2 linked regions of the Daphnia pulex genome follow. The protein of the gene in region 2 interacts with the protein of the main gene of each other region in a pairwise test. Links are inferred from orthologs where the notes say so. Each region holds a gene or a part of one and is shown on either strand. Other genes may lie near its edges.

The links. The genes of interacting proteins can lie anywhere in the genome.
Region 1: the proteins of pre-mRNA-splicing factor SLU7-like (region 2) and peptidyl-prolyl cis-trans isomerase-like 3 interact in binary tests that used the Homo sapiens proteins (3 or more experiments, as listed by UniProt). The link is inferred for Daphnia pulex from reciprocal best matches to the Homo sapiens genes SLU7 and PPIL3.

What each region holds. Positions count from the first base shown.
Region 1 is NC_060018.1:4,044,775-4,047,725, forward strand, and holds peptidyl-prolyl cis-trans isomerase-like 3, read right to left. Parts: upstream 1,532-2,951; 5' UTR 1,376-1,531; coding exon 1,373-1,375; intron 1,304-1,372; coding exon 1,268-1,303; intron 1,206-1,267; coding exon 1,167-1,205; intron 1,100-1,166; coding exon 819-1,099; intron 751-818; coding exon 705-750; intron 643-704; coding exon 562-642; 3' UTR 501-561; downstream 1-500. Other genes in the region: uncharacterized protein LOC124188554, read left to right, coding at 1-40, 103-222. UniProt on the Homo sapiens protein: PPIases accelerate the folding of proteins. It catalyzes the cis-trans isomerization of proline imidic peptide bonds in oligopeptides. May be involved in pre-mRNA splicing.
Region 2 is NC_060025.1:5,188,496-5,192,510, forward strand, and holds pre-mRNA-splicing factor SLU7-like, read right to left. Parts: upstream 2,801-4,015; 5' UTR 2,573-2,800; coding exon 2,410-2,572; intron 2,346-2,409; coding exon 1,686-2,345; intron 1,613-1,685; coding exon 1,218-1,612; intron 1,154-1,217; coding exon 569-1,153; 3' UTR 383-568; downstream 1-382. UniProt on the Homo sapiens protein: Required for pre-mRNA splicing as component of the spliceosome. Participates in the second catalytic step of pre-mRNA splicing, when the free hydroxyl group of exon I attacks the 3'-splice site to generate spliced mRNA and the excised lariat intron.

The DNA of each region.
Region 1 (2,951 bases), on a different chromosome or scaffold from region 2:
TGATGATCAAACTCCTGAAGAAGAGTATGGCGGTCAAGCTGTATGTAAATTAAAATTTTAGATTTAGAAGAAAATGTCTTTAAGTTTAATGTCTTGTTCCAGTCAGGAGAAGAAAACCGGAATGCTGAAGAAGCAGATGAAAAAAACCAGGAACATTCTGAAGCTACTGAAATCACTACAAATGAGGATGACTACGAAAAGGATGATTTATCTACCAATTAGCCAAGGAAGGATCAGTACGAGTTCAGAAGATGAATTGTTAACCTCCAAATTGACCTATCCCATTTAAGATGAACACAGAATGTAAAGGCGTCACGTAATGTGCGCTGAATTAAGGTTGTTTTTCGACTTATTTTCGATGGATTTTCACAATTTCTGCATTGAAGCTTGGTGGATTTTTACTTATGGCATATTAAAATTCACACAGCTCGACCCTTTTTCATGTCAACTATTGTGTACCTATTGGTGTACTTTGAACATGATATTAAATGAAACAAAAATAATTTCTGTTTTGATGTATAACACCCACATTCATACATAGCAAAGGAGCAGTTCAAACTTTCACTGAGCAAGTGGATTGGCATGAATAGTCACACTGTTTAAATGTATATCTTTCAACGGTCGATGATTCTTCTGGTTGACCTATGAACGAGGATTAGTTAACTCATTAGTTATACATATAATAATGGAGAAGTTTTATTTACTGGTAGTTTTTCCAATTCATCCAGCACATCAAATCCATCAATAACTCTAAAAATAAAAAAAAAAATTGTGTTTTAAAAAAGAGCTTTAATTGCTGTAAAAAATAGATAACTTACTTTCCAAATATTGTGTACTTCAAATCCAAATGAGGCTGCGGACCATATGTGATAAAAAATTGGCTGCCATTTGTGTTTGGTCCAGAATTAGCCATTGAAAGATACCCTCGATTTTTATGTTTTAATTCCTCTGTAAACTCATCCTCAAATTTTCTTCCCCAAATAGATGTGCCTCCTTTTCCTGTGTTTGCTGGATCTCCTGTTTGCACCATGAATCCCTTTATGTTTCGATGAAACAGGCATCCATTGTAGTAGTTACTGGCACAAAGTGCTAAAAAGTTCTGGATACATAATAAGACACTTGTGCAGAAAATAATTTTAAAAAATTCATAAAATTCTTAACATTACCTCTGCAGCCCTTGGTGTTACATCACAGAAAACCTCTATCTAAATGAAAATAATTAAGAATATGATTTATCTTATTAAGAAATATTTGACAAAATAAATACCTTAATATTGCCTAGATCAGTGTGGAGAGTAACAGACTGGAAAAATTAAAATTTTAAAATATTACAAAATTGGAAAAAAAACACATACACAACTCAAATACCAACCATTTTAATCAGATTCTTTGTTACTGTTAAGGGTAAGGGTAAAAAACAAATCTTAAAAACGTTTTTGCTTTTCTAATAAGCGTAGAAAAAGTGGAACACTGGAATCGGTTTTCAAAATGTTTCCTTTTCAAACGTCAAGCTTAAAGCTTTGTAGTCTGCTTGGTTATCATTGTTGCGGATTGGCCGCAAGGAGCAGGCCTCCACAACATCATGAGAACCATCTAACTCCGATCCGTCATAAGTGTAATTTTTTTAAAGAATGTATGATATTAAGCACAAATAAAATAATTAATGACAAAATCTATGTTGTTACTTTATAGGAATCTAGGAACGAACGACATATTTTATTGAAAGAAAATAATCTGTCACCAGAAAGTTGCTGTTTTCTCCCAATAGATGACGTCGGCTTTGGTATTGATAGCCCTCCCCAGATGGCTTCAAATTTTTGATGAACTGCGCGCCAAAAAAACAATTTTAATACTTTAATAGGTAAGTAAATGAGATTGGCACTGGATAACGATATCGTCTAGCTGCAACTCTCAGCGGACAGCGTTGGTTGGTTCTACTGATATAAGAACGTAGAACGGATCCATTCAACGTCCTTTTAGACGTTTATTCTGTAAATTACACACGAATGATGATTCCGTCGTTTACATCCATAGGAATAGGAATTTTACATGGTTTTTATGGTATTATAAATATTTCTAGTAGTTTTCTACATCAAACATTTAAGCGAAAAACAAAGTGCAACGTGGACACCATTTCTAGTAATAGCTGATAGCTCTGATTTTGATATTTGTAAAATATTTATAATTTCCATTCGATTTAATAGATATTTCATCTCACAATATTTGTGAATGATAGCTTTGCTATACTAACGAATTGCGTATAATTGAAAACGCTAATTGATTAAATGATTTAAATCGTGTTTGGGATAAAGTTTGTCCGCCAGGTGATGCGTTGAACAGTTGATGCGATTCCTAAGCACGAGCAGTCGAGCTCGAGCACGACTACGACACATGGCAGACATTGTTGTTGGATTTTCTGGTTAGTTTTCCATTCTTTATCGAATTACAAGTGTATTGCATCGGAATTTCTGATTGGATTAATCAGATTTAACAAGCTTCAAGTTAAGACTTAAGAAAGTTAACTTTACTGCCTGTCTCCACGTAATCGTTGCCGTATCATGAAAATGCCTCGATGTTGACAGGGTTTCTACTACAGCTACATTGACGACGAGAATGAGATGAAAACAGGAAATCTGAAATGGTAATAGTGTATGTAGTTGTAAGATAAATCAAGTGGTTTATCATTTAGTTTAAATTTTGTCCAGTGGTGTCCCATTTTACTTACACATTTTCATTGTTTATTTTACTTAAGTTCAACATCATTTTTATATGTTGAATATAAGTGACATACTGAACCACTTTTTCAGAATATTTGAAGTGGTTTTAGCACACAAGAAAACTGATATCCAAATTAAAACAAAATTATTTTTTTAAAATAGTACCAAGCAATAGTGTTTACTAACTAATGGTTGGTACTGACTGCTGGAGTTAAAGTTAATTGGCGACATCTC
Region 2 (4,015 bases):
CACCTATTTTTACAATTTCGAACTATTGCTATTCGAAATGGCCGATAATACTGCAAATTCATTGACGATCGTTGACGATCGATAAATCCGAAGTTTACTTTTTTTAGTGAGTTAAGTTGACCAAATTAACTGTAAAAACAAAAATTTTAAATACATTTTGAGAAAATTTTTAACCATTTTCTTTAACATTGCTAAATAGACTAGGTCCACTTGAAAATAATAGGCCCACGAATTCTGAACCCTAGCAGTAAATGAGTAAAATTAAAATTAACTAATAAAGTCAACCGTTTGTCGATTTTTTTTTGCAACGGAAAAGTTATGACTAAATTTACTACTTTTGAGATGGGAAAGGTCAACTACAGAATGGAGGAATACTGGGAAATATTCTATTTCAACATTTATTCATTATTAGCTTCAAAATTATATCTAATCCGGTGGTACGATTGTGGCGTAAGCCATACATGGTCACGATGCTAAGATATAAGTCATACAACACATTCAGAGACTTCTCCCGAATAAAAAAAAAATTGAAAAAAGTGAAAGAATACATTTTTATTCGAAAACCAAATTAAAAGAAAGCCATTGGATCTTCTTCTCGTTTACGCTTCATGTAATAGGCTTCTAGTTCCTCCTCGTTCGGCGCTTTACTTTCCACCATACTATTGTAAGGTCGTTTCCTTTCGTCCAAACTCATAAGACGGTCAACTTGCCGGAGACGCTTTTCTTCAGCTTGAAGAGCTTCAAGCAACTTTTTCTTTTTCTCGGCTTCTTCATCACTTTCCGAGTCGCTGCTTTCATGGGTGTCACCCTTTTTCCCAACTGATTTTTTGTGTGATTTCTTTTTCTTCTTCTTATCTCTCTTCCTTTTCCTTCTGGCTTCCGATTTTTCGTAGTCTTTTGTGTCTTTGACGACTTCTGGTGGAGGCAACTGCTTTTCCTCAAATTTTTCTTCTTGGCTATCGTCATGGCTGTCTGTGTTCCCGTCATCCGAATCTTGTGTCACAATTTTGTTTGCATTTATAGCAACAGTCGAAGACGGGATTTTTTCTTCTTCGATGTCTTTGCTTCTCTCACCGGTGCAATACGAGTTCTTTATCATAGAATAACAGCACTGGAATCCCCATTGACCATCCTTCCAATAAGAGCCCCAGACCTACAAACAAAATTTTAAAATGTTACACGGTTATTAACAGAGCTATTTATTTGATTAGACTTACCGACTGATGGTTATTTATGTACACATCTTCTTCATAGCGGGAGCTTACAACTGGTTTTTCAGCCCCTTTGATAATTTTTCCAGCTCGAGAGTACTCCACGTATTGTTCGGTTTGAGCAAGTAGGAGTGCTTTGGGTGGAACTTGCAGATGTTCTTTACCACCATAACGTTCTAAGATACTCTCTTGAATGGAGCTTTTGATTTCTTCTTTCTTCCCAACATACTCGACTTTAAGTTTCTCAGCCTTGGTGGGTTCAGCTAATAAATGTACGTCAACACCGGCATGTTGAGCTTCCCACGCAAACAATTGAGCCTGTGCATGTTTTGAAGTGTCCCCACTAAAACGAATGAAATTTTCACCAGCATAGTCAACCTGTTCAGCTTCTTTTCCAGTATCTTAATAATAAAAAATTAATCATTAAATTAGGATTTCAAAATGATCACTCCATTACAAATTGATATAAGGTACCTTTATAGGGGTTTTCCCTCATTGAACGAGTTTTTGGATCATAGTAGGCTGAATTAGGATCCAGATTACGTAAATATTTGGCAGTATCTTCACGAATCCTTAGATTACGAACTGTAATTCTCTGCTTAGAATCCACTTTTGTTCCAGGCATGTCAACTTCATCAACATATTTATCTTCATCACCATCCATTTCTTCTTCTCCTCCTTCATCTTCATCTCCAGTATTTAGCCTCTGAGCTTTCAGTTGGCGCTTAGTGTCTTCAACTTTTTCAAATTCTTCTATAATGCCCAAATGTTCAGTTGGATTATAGCCATTCCAACGGTCACGTTTTCCATCAAAGTCAAGTTTAAGATCAGGTTGGATAAACTCATCTGGGGCTATTTCAGCACCAGAGAATTTTGCCAATACTTTCCTTGGTCTTTCCATACAATCTTTTTTCTTATGAGTCACTGCTCCACAGTTTTCACAAGCTCCTTTTCGGAATTTGGTTGTAAGGGAATCAAGATTCACCCCCCGCTGAAACCAATCACCAACTTTGGCCAACTGTTTTTGTTTATCATCCTCTTGAGGTCTTTGATGTTTTAGTGTTGGTCCAACAGTGTTGTAATACCATGGCGCTGAAGAAATATACTGCGGAATGTGAGGATTGATATCTTTGCCTGTAGAAAATTTAGAGTTGTCAAACAAGTAATTTTATTTTTTTTTTAAATTTATAACAATTACCTTCTTCATCTACTGCAGCTGGTGCAGTTCCTGCTTTCCTGGCTTCTTCTAGCTCTTTTGCCTTTCTCCAGTCTTCTCGAGTTTTCTTTTGAGGTTCACTACCTACAGACTGAGATTTGCTAGCTATTAGCAGCGAAACTGGTAAACTTGGAGTGTTCGCCATTTTAGGAAAATTTTTCAAACCAACGAGTAAAAGAAGTTGATAAAATTCATGTGCTACAATTTTAACAATTGGTGTGAAATGAACCAGTTTGCAATGTTCGTTTGTCAAGCAATCCTTTATTCCTTTGATTGTTATTGCGATACACGAATTTACGACTCCACGACACTACACCTGACTACACATAAGGGGAAGTGGATAAAGTGTGGGTGCGGAATGCAGGACTGCAGGAGTACTTCATGCAGCCTGCTGCCTGCAGGGTTGCTTGTTTTTACTTTTTGTACGCATAAATAGGCCTCAAGCGAGTATGTTCAGTCAGGGTCTCAGGGAGTCAGGTTCAGGATCAGAACTAACATTTCACATTTCGATAAAAGTGATTGAGGCGGCTCGGCTGAAAAGTGAAAACGTTTATAATAATAAAGTTGGCTAAAAATGGTCGCGGGAAAAAACAACTTTTTAAAAACAAGTTCTATTTTTTGTTATACTCTTTTTTAAAAAATGTGAGCCATCTCAAGTTTAGACCATAAATCCATCAATGCTGAACGACAGGGACGATTTTAATCATTTTCCCAGTTGATTTGAACATCGTAATTTAGCGGATGTCTATATGTAGAGTAGCTTTTCTTGTGCGTTTCGCCGTTTCATACGGGAAAATATTGAATCTTCGGAATGGTTTTTACGCATCTTTGTTTGCGATTCATACGTAACGGCGCGCGGCTGATAAGGATAACGGGTTACGTTAGATTTAATAGTCACTAAAAATTGGAGCTTCGTGAATGTTCCCCATAACCTTGCTATTTTGTGAAAATAATTTGTGCTAGTGGTTACAGCACTAGACTGAATACGGTACTCTTGGGTCTGTTGTTTTTCCGCCCCTCGTTATGTCGTTACACAATTAAGCCCCATTACCTCCATTAAGATATTAAGACTGAACAGATAAATGATTTGGCTTAACTACTCAATAAATTAATTTTAATTTATTATATTTTAAATAATTTGACTTGAGAAAACATTCGATTCCCTGTGCTGCTGAATCTGAAATTCCAGAAAATACTTTGAAAATTTGTTGTAACATATTATCGCGATTAAATAATCGATTTTGGTCTTTTAACTCTCGTTATTTTATTTTATAAGATTATAAATACAGTTCATAATGCACTAAAAATTCCAAATGCTTTTGCAATTAGGTTTTTATCGAGTATAGAACAGTTGTTACTAGGCCTATATCAGCATCATTTTATCAAAGCAAAAAGCAAGAAAAAAACGTCTCTTGTTGTTAATCGATCAAAGCAAAAATCGAACGAATTTTGTGCTACGATGCCACACTTTACGTTTATGTAATTTCAGAAGTGCGTCATGCCATTCTTTATGAAAAATTTCCCAACTTTTTAATGCATCTCTTCTAGATTTGGAACAAAAATCAATTTAGTATTCGCGCAGTTACTA